4 linked regions of the Oryctolagus cuniculus genome follow. The protein of the gene in region 3 interacts with the protein of the main gene of each other region in a biochemical or structural test. Links are inferred from orthologs where the notes say so. Each region holds a gene or a part of one and is shown on either strand. Other genes may lie near its edges. The genes, in order: DCUN1D3, PEF1, CUL3 and DCUN1D4.

The links.
Region 1: the proteins of CUL3 (region 3) and DCUN1D3 form a complex in vitro, tested with the Homo sapiens proteins (3 studies listed by BioGRID, with this or other methods). The link is inferred for Oryctolagus cuniculus from reciprocal best matches to the Homo sapiens genes CUL3 and DCUN1D3.
Region 2: the proteins of CUL3 (region 3) and PEF1 form a complex in vitro, tested with the Homo sapiens proteins (2 studies listed by BioGRID). The link is inferred for Oryctolagus cuniculus from reciprocal best matches to the Homo sapiens genes CUL3 and PEF1.
Region 4: the proteins of CUL3 (region 3) and DCUN1D4 form a complex in vitro, tested with the Homo sapiens proteins (2 studies listed by BioGRID, with this or other methods). The link is inferred for Oryctolagus cuniculus from reciprocal best matches to the Homo sapiens genes CUL3 and DCUN1D4.

The regions. Positions count from the first base shown.
Region 1 is NC_091450.1:18,308,811-18,313,109, forward strand, and holds the start of DCUN1D3 (DCN1-like protein 3), read left to right. Parts: upstream 1-1,462; coding exon 1,463-1,893; exon of another isoform or gene 1,894-2,301; coding exon of another isoform or gene 2,302-2,311; exon of another isoform or gene 2,312-3,079; coding exon 3,080-3,563; 3' UTR 3,564-4,299. UniProt on the Homo sapiens protein: Contributes to the neddylation of all cullins by transferring NEDD8 from N-terminally acetylated NEDD8-conjugating E2s enzyme to different cullin C-terminal domain-RBX complexes and may play a role in the cell cycle progression by regulating the SCF ubiquitin E3 ligase complex, after UV damage.
Region 2 is NC_091438.1:140,775,566-140,779,744, reverse strand, and holds the start of PEF1 (peflin), read right to left. Parts: upstream 2,807-4,179; 5' UTR 2,703-2,806; coding exon 2,637-2,702; intron 1-2,636. UniProt on the Homo sapiens protein: Calcium-binding protein that acts as an adapter that bridges unrelated proteins or stabilizes weak protein-protein complexes in response to calcium.
Region 3 is NC_091434.1:14,714,524-14,718,086, forward strand, and holds part of CUL3 (cullin-3), read left to right. Parts: intron 1-37; coding exon 38-266; intron 267-3,563. UniProt on the Homo sapiens protein: Core component of multiple cullin-RING-based BCR (BTB-CUL3-RBX1) E3 ubiquitin-protein ligase complexes which mediate the ubiquitination and subsequent proteasomal degradation of target proteins.
Region 4 is NC_091433.1:42,285,324-42,288,886, reverse strand, and holds part of DCUN1D4 (DCN1-like protein 4), read right to left. Parts: intron 3,491-3,563; exon of another isoform or gene 3,435-3,490; intron 1,399-3,434; coding exon 1,294-1,398; intron 1-1,293. UniProt on the Homo sapiens protein: Contributes to the neddylation of all cullins by transferring NEDD8 from N-terminally acetylated NEDD8-conjugating E2s enzyme to different cullin C-terminal domain-RBX complexes which are necessary for the activation of cullin-RING E3 ubiquitin ligases (CRLs).

The sequences.
Region 1 (4,299 bases), on a different chromosome or scaffold from region 3:
GATCCCAGGGCAGAGTGCCAGTTCTGAGTCCTAGGATCTCTGCTTCTGATCCAGCTTCCTCCTAATGCATCCTGGGAGGCAGCCTAAGTGCCTGGGAGGCTTAAGTGCTTGGGCTCTTTCCACCCATGGAGAGACCTGGATGGACTTCTAGGTTCCTGGCTTTGGCCTGGCCCAGCATAGTTGTTGTGGGCATTTGGGGAGTGAACCAGCACAAGAAAGATCTCTGTGTCTCTGTCTCTGTTGCCATTTAAGTAGATAAAAATAAACACGTAAGAAAAAAAGGAGCCCTGGATAGACAGGGTAGTCTCAGAGAAATTACATTCCCTTTAGGTCCCTTTCCGATGGGGGTGGCAGGGCCCCAAGCACTGGGGCCATCATCTGCTGCCTCCCAAGATGCAGGAGCAGGAGGCTGGGTCAGAAACTGAGTAGCTAGGACTCCAGGACGGCATGTGAGCATCCCAAGCAGTGGCTTATCCTTTTGCATCACAATTCCTGCCCCCATATCCTACCATTTTTAGAAGATCGTATTTAGACAAATCAGTCCTTTAGAGCAGAGACACATACCCCATTAGAAGCCTGCTAGGACTGTCATGTTTAATGAGAACTTGGCATGCATTCTGTACAGCCTCACTAAAGACATAAAAGGGAGGGAATAAAAAAAAAAAAAGCTCCTAGGTTAGGAGACTTTGCTTGGAGTACAGGGATGGTGAATGGCTTCCGTAGCTGAGCAAAGAAAGGGCCTTACACCTGCTATGTGGGATAGGCCCAGAAAGGGATCTGGAGAGATCAGGGATGAACTTTACTTTGATGTTTGGTTCTGCCCTTGTTCGCAGGCCTGACACTGCAAATCCCTTACCTCATTGTTAAGCTATTGTGAGACCCTATAGTTGTTTTGGGTATGGCCACTCCCTCCCTCTATTAATCCCATGTATGGAAAAAGAAAATCTGAGTGTGACGGTGTTAAAAACTAGAAAATAAACCTTATATTTGTACCCTCTGGCTTAATCCAGGTCCACATAAATTTTTTGCATGATGATGAATTGGCAAGACAGATTTCCTCTGGAATATTTGGCAGAACTGTGGTCTTTGATGTGTTCTGCACATGAATCAGCTTCTTTGTAACCTGTTACCTTAAGAATTTTAGGAATTTCCCATATTGGTTTTCCATATGTGCCATAGCCACTGCTTTTCCAAGGCAAGTTACAGAGCTGGCTTATCAGGGAGGTGATCTCCCTTCATTCCTTGTTGGCTCATTGAAACGCAGTGATCCCCAGGAAGCAGTCCCCAGAGGGTGGTGCCCCCGCCCATGCCCTGTGTTCTGTGTTCAAGAGGTGACTGCTTTCCAATTTCCTCCCAGGTTGGCTGGTTCCTCTGGCTGATGGCATGTTGAAGTACATGGGCCAGCGGCAGCGAGGGCATCCATTCCAGAGGGGGCCACTTTAGAGGCCAGGCCGCCAGCACCATGGGCCAGTGTGTCACCAAGTGCAAGAATCCCTCATCAACCTTGGGCAGCAAGAATGGAGACCGGGACTCCAGCAGCAAATCACACAGCAGGCGAAGTGCAGGCCACCGTGAGGAACAGGTGCCACCTTGTGGCAAGCCAGGTGGGGATATCCTCGTCAATGGGACCAAGAAGGCGGAGGCTGCCACTGAGGTCTGCCAGTTGCCAACGTCCTCGGGAGATGCTGGGAGGGAGTCCAAGTCCAATGCTGAAGAGTCTTCCTTGCAGAGGTTGGAAGAACTGTTCAGGCGCTACAAGGACGAGCGGGAGGATGCAATTTTGGAAGAAGGCATGGAACGCTTTTGCAATGACCTATGTGTCGACCCCACGGAATTTCGAGTGCTGCTCTTGGCTTGGAAGTTCCAGGCTGCTACCATGTGCAAATTCACCAGGTTAGTTACAAATACTTCATGTTACCAGGTGAGCAGAGGAGGAAACGGAGCAATGTTGTGCAGGAGTGCTCAGCTAGGATAACTGGGTCAGCTGCATGGGGTTTGGGGAAGGGAAAATCCTTGTGCTCTGACCAGTTTCTCAAAAGCAGATGTTTTGAGCTAAGTTGTGTTCCTGATCCAGAGAAGGCCTCCCCCTGCCACCTCCCTCCCAAGACTCCTCTGAGGGTTTAAAAAAGTAAGTGCCTGACTCTGTAGCAGACCCACTCAATAGGAATCTTGAGGTACTTGAGAATTCACTGTCCGTCCTGTGGCAGGTGCTGTGTGTGCCAGTACAGTGAGAACCTCCAGGGATGTGCCTCTGCCACTCCGTGAGCCCAGTTGTCCCTTCTCATCCTTACCGTATTGCCCTCAGCCAGACCTGTATGAAACAAGGACAGGTGGCCCAGTTATCAAGCAGCAGTTTCATGTCGTTGTGGTCTTATATCCCTGTAGAAGTTGCTTGTGGGTGAAGACGTGACAGGGTCACCCCAAGGGGTGGTTTGCTGAGCGCAGGTTATGAGACCTGGCCAAGCCATTTCTAGTCTATATGCCCCCAGGTAGCTTACCCTCCAGACCTGGACTCCCTAATCTTGGTGGGTACAGCAGTCCCAGAGAGGAAACCGTGCTGTCAGCTGGAAGTGTTACAAAGATGTTAAATATGTGTACGCAAGTTTTGTTATTTAATAGCACAGTTTTTATCTCTGGTGGCAGACTTAAATTTTATCCTGCCTCTCGGGCTCCAGAAGTGTCTCTTGGCTGTCACCAGAAAGATACCAAAACAACCCAGAGAGAATCGAAAGGGAGGCAGGAAGGCTTCTCCATCGAGGAGAAAGAGGCTGCAACCTCATCACCAGTGCAGGGCAGCAGACCCAGCAGGAGGCAGGGGACTAGCTGCCTGCCGTGTGCTTGGCAGTGTTGGAAACACTCGGTACTCGTGCTAACGTGTTTACCCCTCACCAGAACCCTGCAAGGTGAGGTGTAACATTTACTCACCACTTGGCAGATGAGGAAGGAGGACTACTTAGTGCAGGAGCTGGCATTTGATCCAGGCCATCCTGCCTCAATGCCATACTCTTGATTACTATACTCTGTTGCCCTCGGTAAATAATATCGGTTATAACTAATTTGTGCCTTCTTTCTGTTGCAGGAAGGAGTTTTTCGATGGCTGCAAGGCAATAAGTGCAGACAGCATTGACGGGATCTGTGCGCGGTTCCCTAGCCTCTTAACAGAAGCCAAACAGGAGGATAAATTCAAGGATCTCTACCGGTTTACATTTCAGTTTGGCCTGGACTCTGAAGAAGGGCAGCGGTCACTGCATCGGGAAATAGCCATTGCCCTGTGGAAACTAGTCTTCACTCAAAACAACCCTCCAGTATTGGACCAGTGGCTAAACTTCCTAACAGAGAACCCCTCGGGGATCAAGGGCATCTCCCGGGACACTTGGAACATGTTCCTTAACTTCACTCAGGTGATTGGCCCCGACCTCAGCAACTACAGTGAAGATGAGGCCTGGCCAAGTCTCTTTGATACCTTTGTGGAGTGGGAAATGGAGCGAAGGAAAAGAGAAGGGGAAGGGAGAGGTGCACTCAGCTCAGGGCCCGAGGGCTTGTGTCCCGAGGAGCAGACTTAGTGGCTCTGTCCCAGGAGCAGCAGCAAAGAGCTGCCTGCTGTCCTGCAGCCAACCAAGGAATTGGACCTTTCTGGAAATTACTGAAGATCCGGATATTTTCTACTTTACACCTTTCTCTGCCTTGTATCTGAAAGGGCTCTAAAATGCTGTATCATGTTTTAGGCACTTTCTTCATTTTTTGGTTATTTTGGTTATTTCTTTTTTTTGGGGGGGGTAATCCCCCAAAATATTTGAACCTGGCTACATGTTGTGTATCTTTTTTTGAAGCCTTCAGATAGAATAAGTCTGCCATTTCTTGCACAAATTGGATGATTTTTTTTTTTTTTTTTGGTGGGGGCCAGTATAGAGCCGGGTGGGGGGAATGGGACTGTTCGGTTGAATTAACATTACAAAATGATACAGTGCCAGATCTCAGTTTTGCATACTGTTTTTCAGGGCAGGTCTGTACTGTGTGTAGTGCTGTTTACATGGTTGAATTTAGGTTGTAATAATTATTTTTAAAGATTTACACAGATTTTGAGTAGCAGTGTTAACTGTTAACCACATTGCATTAATTTCCAGACAAGTTTAGAGCTCTTGGGGAGCTGAGGCCAGTCAAGAGCGTTTGTGTAGTCTGGTGATAACTTCCCTTTTAAGCTAATTTATCCAAAACCCTTATTTCCCTCACTTCTTGCTCATTCCTTCTTTGACCTACTGCATTTCATGTTGAATTTATCCATGAACATGCTGCACCTGT
Region 2 (4,179 bases), on a different chromosome or scaffold from region 3:
TACATGTCTGCATTACTCTCCCACTTGGAGGATTTCTACACATTGTTCTTTGCACACCTATCCAGCAGTTCACTACGGGCAGAGCCCAGGGAGTGTGGCATAACAGCAACTGCGGCACCAAGAGCTACCACTATGCATTGGCATTTGCTGTGTACCAACAACGTGGCAAGCTCCCTTACATAGGTGTCATTACATTTCATCCTCATTTCAGCCCTTTTAACAGGTTTCCAGCTTGCACAAGATGCAGGCGGGACAGCCACCAACTGAGGCGGAATCTGGGCTGTGGGGAAGTCGGGGGAAGACAGTGAGAGGACTCCCAGGGTCACTGCATTGTTAGCGAAGGTCTGATCAGGTATTAGCACAGCTCCTGTTCCTCTTTATAGCTGAAGACACTGCGGCTCAGAGTCTAGCTTGTCTAAGGCACATGGTAATTAAGAGTCCAGCCCGGGAGCCGCCGCCTGCAGAGCTGGCATCCCATGTGGACGCCGGTTCGAGTCCTGGCTGCTCCACTTCCAATCCAGCTCTCTGACCTGGGAAAGCAGTGGAGGATGGCTCAAGTCCTTGGACCCCTGCACCCACCTGGGAGACTTGGAGGAAGCTCCTGGCTCCTGGCTTCAGATCGGCTCAGCTCTGGCTGTTGTAGCCATTTGGGGAGTGAACCAGCGGATGGAAGACACCTCTCCTCTCTCTCTCTCTCTCTGCTTTCTGTAACCTTGCCTTTCAAATAAATAAATCTTTAAAAAAAGAAAAAAAAAAGAGTCTAGCCCAGCTCTGCCTAACCTGTCGTTGCTCCTTAGCTGCATACAAAACCACCCCTAAAGCTTATTAAAATGCAGTTTCCTGGGCCATTTTTGGGCCTAGAACATGTCAGAGATGGGACCCAAAAGTGTATTTTTAACAAGCTCTCTGGTGATTCCGATGCTTAGGACCAGCCACTGAGAAACAACACACTGTGGCCATGATTTCCCAGTCTGTGTTACTCGGGAATCCTAACGTCACCACAAAAATGACCAGTTTTTTTAAAAGGCAGTTAAGCCGCGGCTTGGGACACCTGTGTCCCATGTGGAAGGGCCTAGTTGGATCCTGGCTGCTCTGCTCCCCAGCCAGCTTCCTGCTGAGGTGCACCCTGGGAGGGTGCAGATGATGGCTCAAGTACCTGGGTCCCTGTCACCCACATGGGAGAGACCCAGATCAAATTCTGGGCTCCTGGCTTTGGCCCCACACAGCCTTGGTTGTCATACACATTTGAGGGGTGAGCCAGCAGATGGAAAATGTCTCTCTCTCTGCTTTTGCAATAAAACAACTTTAAAAAATTCTGAAGTTCTCCATGAACAAACTTACTTGACCCTAGGATCCTCCTCTAATGGCAATTATCTACTGGACCCCACAACTCAGCAATGGAACGAGTTTGGGAAACACTATTCCATTCTACTTCCTCCTGCCCCCAGCCCTCACTGGTCCCTCTCCTCCCTACCTGTGCCAATCCAGCAATGAATGGGGTTCTAAGCTCCAGCCCTGGCCTCACTGGCTGGGTGTGACCTCTGTCAAGCCACCTGACTTCTTCCCTCAGCTGGGGGGGGGGGGAGTAACCCGAGTAACCCCTGCTTGCCTCCGGGGCGTCCACCCCTGGAAAACGGGGCTCCAGACGCTGTGTCAACAGCACAAGGCTGCTCTCCCGGGAAGGACTGGCACCGCATCTTTAGGCACGTGACCAAACTACACTCCGTCTGGTGCTCTGTAATATCCCATCTGGTCACCGTCTGATGTTTCCTGATGTGCAACCGTGGACAATGCAGGGCCCTCTCTGGGTTTCAGCCTCCTCTGTAAAACGAGGGGGCCATTTTGGGGGCCCTCCTAGCACTGAGCTTTTAGGAGTCTGGTGCCCCCCGCTTCACAAGCCTCGCCTGGGTCTAACAGCTCCATGACTCGGCGTCTGAGCCGGCGCTGTTCTAGAGAGGGCACTTCGCTTGGAGAGACAAAACACCTTGCTCAAGGGCTCAAGACTACTGATGGAGCCTGGGGCAGACCCTCCTCTGACTCCAAACTGCACTTAATCACCTCCTATTCTGTCACCCACATAGAGCTCTGGCCACGGCCAGCCCGGCCCGGCGGACCTCAGCTCTGCTACCTAAACCGCCCGCCGCCGTCGGGGCTTCACTCTCCCTGCGGAAAATGGACGTGTTACACAGCAGTCAAACCAGCTCAACCACAGAACCCCGATTAGTCTCCAGCACTGCGTGTGGGCTGGGTCCGGACACCTGCTGCTTCCCCACCCCACGCCCCAGATGATGCCAGAGGAAACAGAGCTCCGCTGAAGAGCCCGCCCGGGTTCCCCGCGAGGGCCTCGGGGCCTGAGGGAGCGCGCAGAGCCCAGGCGGGGTCCAAGGCCTCCAAATTCTCGCAGGCGCGACGTCAGAGGGGGCGCGACAAGACAGCCCACTCGCGCTGTCCCGTATGACGTGAGCCGGGTGCGACCGACCGTGCCTTTCCCCTTCCCTCTCGCGCGAAGCTTCGCTGAAGCGAACTTTCAGCGTGGAAAGCACGCGGTGAAAGCCGGGGGAAGAAGAGCTGAGGAGACCCCCAGTTTGGGCCTGGCACGGCCCCTATCTGCACTCACCAACCCCTCACACACTCACCTGCCCGTACGGATAGCTCGCCATGGCGACTCTGACGTCACACGTCAACGAGGGGCGGGGCTTCATGCTCTCAAACCCGCCCTTTGCGTAAACCGGGGGGCGGACCCGCTTTTCAGTGGACGCCCGTGACTGTCAATCCTAAATATGTTGGCCGACGGAAGTGACGCTACAGGGTGGGGGCCTTCTTCCCGCCTGACCAGAGGAGCTTAGCTCTGGGCGGAGGTTTCCGGAAGTTTTGGCAGCTGTCTTGGCATGTGTGTTCCTCTCTTTCCTGACCTGGAGTAGGCTCCAGGGCTGGTGAGGCCCGAGTATTTAGTGAGAAAATCCGGGTTCTGTGTAGCTGCGGTGGCCATATTATAACCTGGAAAAGGGGACGCATGATAGTGGCGTAGTTGCTGTCGTCACGCCAAGTTTCCGCCTAGCTGGGACGACTGTTGCCATGACGACGGGGGACTGCTTGCGGCCTCCTGGAAGGGACAGGCGATGGTGGAATCACTGCTCTAAGGCACCAGGTGACGGTAGCCGTGGAGTGGTGTAAAATCTGAGGTTTTTGGGAGAAGAAAGTGTTTTTTTACCCAGAAACCTTTTGTTTAAGGTATACAAACTTTCTGCGTTTCATAAATACGACTTTAGGAACATACTGATTCTTCCCACCTGCACTGCCACCCTTCCTATTCCTCCCACTCCTGTTCCCATTCTTATTTTCCACTAAGATCTATTCTCAGTTTTTTAAAGATTTATTTATTTATTTGAAATTTAGAGCTACCCAGAGAGAGAGGAAGAGGCAGAGAGAGAGAGAGAGAGGTCTTCCATCCGCTGGTTCACTCCCCAACTGGCCGCAACGGCTGGAGCTGAGCCGATCCAAAGCCAGGAGCCTCCCTCGGGTCTCCCACGCCGGTGCAGGGGCCCAAGAAGTTGGGCCATCTTCCACTGCTTTGCCAGGCCACAGCAGAGAGATTGGAAGTAGAGCAGCTGGGACTCCAACCAGTGCCCACATGGGATGCCGGCATCGCAGGCAGCAGCTTTTTACCAACTACACCACAGCGCCAGCCCCCTCTCAATAAACTTTGTACACACAAGATTAGCTACACTAAGTAAAGAGTTCAACAGATAGTATGAAAAAAAAAAAAAAAAAAAACTCTTCCTCAACAGTCGAGACAAGGGCTGTCCAAAGTCATCGCATCTCAAAGTGCCAATTTCACCTGTATCGACTACCTTTTAGGTACAGAAGAAAATATTAAACCGCAGGGTTGGCAGAAAATAAGATTATCCCATGCCCTTTGTCTTCATAAATGAGGAAACTGCTCCTGAGAGGCAGCGATTTGCCCTCGTTTGCTGTGGGTTCCTGGTACGGAGCCTGGCACTGAGTTTTTAGTAAATAACGAGTAGGTTGGTGTTCTGAATTGTAATCCAGTGCAGCCCATCTATCTAACCGCGTAGCCGGGCACTTCCTAAAACCATGGCACTGACCATGCTCCTTGCCCGCTGGACAGCTTGCAGTGGGTGCTCTTCAGTCACACCCATGGAACATGGGCCCATTCTT
Region 3 (3,563 bases):
ATTTTAAAGGAAAAAAAATCATTCTTATTAATTACAGATGGAAAGCCAGAAATTTTTAGCAGAGAACAGTGCTTCCGTATATATAAAGAAAGTAGAAGCTAGAATTAATGAAGAAATAGAACGGGTGATGCACTGCCTTGACAAATCAACTGAAGAACCAATTGTAAAAGTGGTTGAGAGGGAACTCATTTCCAAGCACATGAAGACTATAGTAGAAATGGAGAATTCTGGTCTAGTCCATATGTTGAAAAATGGAAAGACAGAAGGTAGGTGTGTTACCAGTTGAAAATCAGTTAAATTCATATATGACCTATCAATTTTTTTATTCTTCTGCAATTAAAGTAGATTATAAATGTCGGTTTTCAGGAAGTTGTGGTTTGTGTCATTAATTTATTACCTTGTTACTTTCTTTTTTACAATTTTAGGTAGTTCTAGTGAATTGAATGACTTTTCTTTTTCTCCTATCCCTCAAGTCTCCTCACTTTGTTTTTCTTATGTGGACAGTAAGAGGTTTAATAATATTGATGTGACTCGTAGTTGAGCTCCTTATTCATTTCTGTATTTTATTTTTATATAGTGGTGGATTTGGCTACTTACTATGCCCATGTACTCTCAAGTTTTTGTGATTCTTTTAAAATCTGAAATCCACATTTTAAAATTTCTGTAGGATTTTCTGTGGAACTTAATTTTGATAAGTGAGCCAAAATGTAAAAATAAGTTTTTTTAAATTATTAGTAAAATACATACAGGGATATGTGTGATTCCATTATACATATTTCTCAAATGTTGTTAGTACTTGTTGACTTGTAATTTCCTATTAATGAAAACTTGAAACTTTACAATTTCAAACCAACTAAATTATTGAAGGTGAAGCTAAATAAAAATACTGACATATTTAGGAAAACTAATAGATTGGTTTGGAGGAACTCTGAAGTGATAGACTGGTAGAAAAGGAGTAGAAATTACAGAAATTAAAGGTAAGCATTTTTGACCTAATTGTAACATTTATTCTTTAGGGCTTTTTTCTTCCTGTTTAAAAAAAAAAATATTGAGCAGCCTAGGAGAAATATTAGAAGTAGAACAACAACAATCAAAGGATCTCATTCTTCTAAAATTTAAATTTTTCACTTTCTAAACTACTGATAATGGTAATAAACATAAGTAAGCATGATTTATTCTTGCTTTCTTTCCTTGATGAAATCTTAGCAATAACTTAGCCATTTATCCTTACTAAAGGAAATACATGTTTCCTATTGGGTTCATGACCTAAGAAGCAGGGAATGAAAAACATCTTTATGTGAGAGGCAGAGAGAATGCCCCCTTCCTGCTGATCCCCAGATGTCCAAACTTGCAGGAGCTGAGCCTGGCCTGAATTGGGAACCGGGAAATCAATCTAGGTCTCCAACATCATTTGCAGGAACCCAATTAGTTGAGCCATTCATTACCTGCTACTTCTAGAGTACATTTTAGCTAGAATTGGAACTGAGAGCCAGAACCCAGATATGGGCATGCCAGCTGGCATCTTAACCACTCGGCTAACCACCTATCCAGGAAACAGTTTTTCAAAGAAGAGTTGCAAAGGGAGGAAGGTGCATAAGAAAGGAAAAGAAAACTGATAGGAGGAGGGGATTACTCATCTTTTTTTTTTTTTTTTTTTTTTTTTTTGACAGGCAGAGTGGACAGTGAGAGAGAGAGACAGAGAGAAAGGTCTTCTTTTTTTGCCATTGGTTCACCCTCCAATGGCCGCCGCGGCCGGCGCACCGTGCTGATCCGATGGCAGGAGCCAGGTACTTCTCCTGGTCTCCCATGGGGTGCAGGGCCCAAGGACTTGCGCCATCCTCCACTGCACTCCCGGGCCACAGCAGAGAGCTGGCCTGGAAGAGGGGCAACTGGGACAGAATCCGGTGCCCCGACCGGGACTGGAACTCAGTGTGCCGGCACCGCAAGGCGGAGGATTAGCCTAGTGAGCCGCAGCGCTGGCCCATCTATTTTTACTAGTGAAATTCTTGCCTTGTGTTTTTTAATGGTTACATTTCTGTATATGTGACAAATTCATAAAAGTTGTATGTAACTTTGTTGTTTTTATTAAATTTTATTAAATTAAATATCTTAATAAAAGATATTAAATCAGAAACTTCTAATAGGATTTGTCTGATAAACTTGTTTGGTAAAAGCAAAAAAACAAAACAAAAATCATGTTTTAGTTTGTTTGCCATGTTTTATAAAATAAGGTACTCTTGTAACGTTTAAACCGGGGATAGGTGAAGTTCTTTTGGTAAAGGACAAGCTAGTCAATATTTTAGGCTCCGAGGCTATACATTCAATTACTCATCTCTGCTGTCATAGTGAGGATGTAGCCTTAGACAGTAACTCAAATGAATATGCTTGACTGTGTCCGTATAAAACTATTGGATTTTCAGATGTCACTAAATATTTTTCTTTTAATATTTTCTGCAACCATTAAAAAATGTGAAAACCATTTTTAATTTATGAGCTGATCAAAAATAAGTGCCAGCCTGTATTCAGTCCACAGGCTGTAATTTGATGAGCCCTGGCTGAGTAGGACTTTATGAAAAGTGAGAATGATTGTCTATATTAACTGATGTACTATTCAAGGATTGATTTAGTGCTTTCCTGCTTACCTTTAGAATGTGTGGGGAGAGGTGATTAAATACTCAAAAGATTAGGGCTAGGAAATGTTTGATGAAGAGATTGTTGGGATATTCCTGAATTAATACCATCTCTATAACCTGCATGGAGACTTGTGTTAAAGGTATTAATTATGCCTAACATACTTACTTAATGTTTTCAGCAAGTATTTGTGACTCTAAATTAAATTTTTCAATTTTGCCTTCAATTTATTTGAACTGCTGCTGGAAACCTAATTGTGAAATGTCTTAATTGTGGTAGGCCCTGCTCTTGAGCAGTATGTTGAAAGAATATCAGAGACACAACTTCATCATTATGAAGCCAAATTCTCATAAATCAGAAAGTAAAAGACAACTTTGTCACTGTGAATGGAAGATAAAGTTGGATTATTAGATGCAGACAGCACTATGAAATTAAGTTCAAATGGTATCTTTTTATTGTCTTATTAAGTGTATATAGAAATAATGATACTTGATTTTTGAATTTCAAATATTTTTCATTAACTTTTCCATTCTCTACTACCTCATACATTTAAATGAGTACAGTGAAAGTATCTCATACAACATGCAATATCTAAATAAAATTTATAACAACACAAAATACTCAAGTGGGCAACTATTTTGTTAGAGGTATTTATGTCAAATTTACTATTTTACATATTCATAAATAGCTATTGCAATTTTAACACCTATTTTTAAAAGGCGTAACATTTGTATATTCATTATTTGAAAGGCAGAGAGAGAGAGCGCGATCTTCCATCTGCTGGTGCACTCTCCCTATACCGGCGGCAACCAGGGCTGGGCCAGTGTGAAGCCAAGAGCCCAGAACTCCGTTTGAGTATCCAGTATGAGTGGCAGGAACTGAAGTATTTGGGACATTATCTGCTACTTTCTCAGTGGCATTAACAGGAAGCT
Region 4 (3,563 bases), on a different chromosome or scaffold from region 3:
ATTATAAATTTAGAAATAAAATCTGGAGCCAAAAATTTATAAATCCTCACCACTGAGATCAAGAAATATCATAAAATAATACAGGTACATAAAAAGCCCAGAGAGTTACCAATGATTTTAAGGATGCAAACACAAGAAAAGCAGAAATCAAAAAATTACTGTTTCTTTTTTAGCTTTCTATGCACCTAAAAATAAAAACCAGTCTTAAAATAGTTGACAATGCTCCCAGAATTGTGCAAAGTCAAATTGGCAATGTCTTTCGGCTAAAGAAACCTTTACACTCAGGCTCAGGTCCTGCTGTGCTTGCTGAGAACAAGAACCGAGTCCATTTATTTTCTGAATGGTGCTAATTTATCTCATAGGGTTGTCTGAGAAATTAGAACAAGCCATACAAGAATGTACATATGAACTAGTGTGTAAACAAATGTTTCTTACATTAAGACCAACTTTAATAACAGTCCTCAAAGAACGGTATCTGTTGCTAAGCTTTTCTGGACCATTACACAAAGTAAGTCGCAAGAAGGATGACTTCAAGAGGGAAGCTGGAGCCAAGGGAAGGCCCTGGACTTTCTCAGAGACCCAGCACCCACATCTCTGCAGGCTGAGGGCATTTTTTTTTTTTAAAAAAAAAAAAAAGGGCTTAGCCAAGATACATGACAACCCAAGTAATTCCAGTCTGTATCTCAGATCCCTCCAGATCCTGCATGATGACATTTCAACAACAACCAGAATATTCAGTCACCAATACTTCAACAAAACACAATGATGGTGTAAGGTAATGGATTCTTTCTGATACAAAGCTGAAGAAAAGTTAAACCAAAGGAGATACTGTCAGTTTGCCTAGGACTAGACTGAGCTAAGGTCCTTAGAGATAAAAGTAGACAAGAAGTGACAACAAACTGATTTTAGTAAGAAGGCAGATGACTGTTTTTTTAACCTTTACTTAATAAAAGTGGAAGTTCCTCCAAAAGAAAGCCGGTCTTCTCCATTGTTATAAGGAGCAGGAAATCTAAACAAAATGAAGCTTTTAAAATGGAGATGAGAAAGGAGAGGAAAGGACAGAGCTGTGGCCATTTCTGACATATCTGTAACGTGGAGTGATGCAACACAGTGTTACACGCATACACAAATGCGCTCCGAGAAGAGAGGTCATTGCTGAATGACAGCAAGTTTGTCACCAGAATTCCTACAGGCAGAAAGCACAACAAACAAAAACATTACATAAAATGGTTAAAGTATATTTGGTAGTTCTAAGCAAGCAAACATACATTTCATAAAATAACAATTTGGTACCTCTAAGAATTGGTGAAAAACTGGAAAAAGGGGCCAGATTTTTCCTAATAACAGTCCCAACATGCACTTGGCAGTGTTTATGTCTAGGCTGCGCTGGTCCTTTTCCTGTTTAACAAACAAAAACAAGGATGAGCCAGATGCCCCCAAAATAACAAATTCCAATCATCCAAATTTGTATTTCACTTCAACAAGAAATTAGTAAACAGCTCATTTACCATATAACCACAAAAACCCTGATTCAAAAGCTAAGGCGGGGGAGGGAAGGCAGTCAAACATGGCGGAAGGCTTGAACGTGTCAGTACTATATAAATTATAAATTTACTGTAAGAAACTCATGTCTACTGAATGATGATCCTGATGCAAAATCACTGAGTTATGTAGTACCAGTACTCATTTCCCAAGAAAAATAAAAATCTGTAACTCGATAGCTTGACTTGACATTTGTAATTATAAAATCACAATTGTTGATCTTAAAGCCTATAACTTAATTTAAAGGTTTTGATTTGCATGCTTAGGAATCAGGTTTCCTTCAAAAACAAATCATTTTTTCCAATAGTTTTACCTTATGAGGTAAATTTTTGTTCATACCTAAGCATGCTAGAATTAAATTGTTAATAATCGTTGGGGCTTTGAGGCTCCCCTATCAAAGGATGTGTTCATCCACAGGCTCCGGGGCAAGTAGGATGTCTGCCTATAAAGCCCTGCTTACCTTGGAGTTCTCAGACTTGAATCTCCTAACCAAATACCCCCAAACTAGTAAACAAGCAAAGGACAATATTTCCTAGGAAACCAGAAGAGAGAGTACACAAACCTAGATTACGTTTAGTCCATTTACATTTGCAGTTAACGATCCTGATTCCTCATTCTCATCTTTCTTACAAGTTTCCATTCTGGAACCACAAGGGGGTAGTTTCTATGGAAAGGGATGGAGGGCCTGGGACTAGTGGTAGTAACCTTACAAAGCTGGCCACCACATGGTTTCTTAATAAGAGAGAAAATATGTAAACATATTTTTTGACAAAGGGAGAAAGTGCCTGGCTACCCCACAGGAGTTGAATCTAAATATTCACCAAAGTAAGGGACGATGCTGTGGCATGCAACTACATGTCCCTTCAGGTAGAATTAACTGTCACCTCAAGGACTCAAACAGTGAAATGCTCTTCAGTATACAAAGAATTTGAGGCATGCCACTGACTTTAAAAGTGAAGAAACAATACAGCCAATGTAAGGGCCTTAGTCAATAACAGCACACAAGGGAGATGAAGACACAGAGACGTGCTACTTAACGGAGATGTGCAGTAGATCTGAGTTTTGGTCCCAGTCATAAAGTGTGACCACTGTTCACAAAGAGAAGAGGTCAGGTGGCTCCAAGTCACCCTTCTCTGCTGACAGGCAGCTGAAGTCTCAAGATGGCAGGGATGCTGTAGTTCCCCAGTTTACGCAAGTAAGTGGGGCCTCCTCTCCAAGGCATTCTCCACCCATCCCTTGGCCATGCAGACTGCCTGTTCTGGGGTGCATTTATTACTAGTGGAGAAGAGGACAGTAGAAGAGGCGCTCTAGAGATTGCCTGCCTTTTGCCAATCAAGCCTCATTGGTTAGTTGAGTTTCAAGGCCTTATACTTCAGTGATACACTGGGCAAGCAAATGGCAACTTCCTCTTACTCCATAACACAGGTGCGGCAGACGGCATTAGCATACTATCCTATGAAGCAATCTACAAGAAAAACTGTTAGGAAACACAAGCAGCACCACAGGACCAGGCCACGTCCATTTGTCAACACAAGAGCTCGTGCAGCGTGGGGCTGACAGCACTGGCCCTCTGGAAAAGTTTTCCCTGGGGAGAGTTTGTACTCAAGTCACTGAAGCCCAATCTCTAGTCTTGCTTTGATAAGTACTGTGTCTTCTTCCATCATCATCATCATCATCAACTCCTATGTCCCCGTCACAGTGGACATACACTAAGGTGACAAAAAAGAAAAAAAGATACAAAGGAGCTGGACAGACTCTTCGCAACAATATAACCATCCAACAAACTGATGACGATCATGAAGGATTTCAACGTATGTGTTTGGCAGCGGTGCCAAAACATGGAGGAAAGGATCAGACTCACAGGACCGGAAAGCTGAGCAGCACTCACTTACTCCTGCTCTGCAAGGGTGCCAGCCAGCAGCTCGCAATCACTAACACCATCTTCTGCCTAGCAAATAAGAGAAAGACATTATGGATGCACTCACAGTCTGAACAGTGGCAACTCCCTGATAACCAGCATT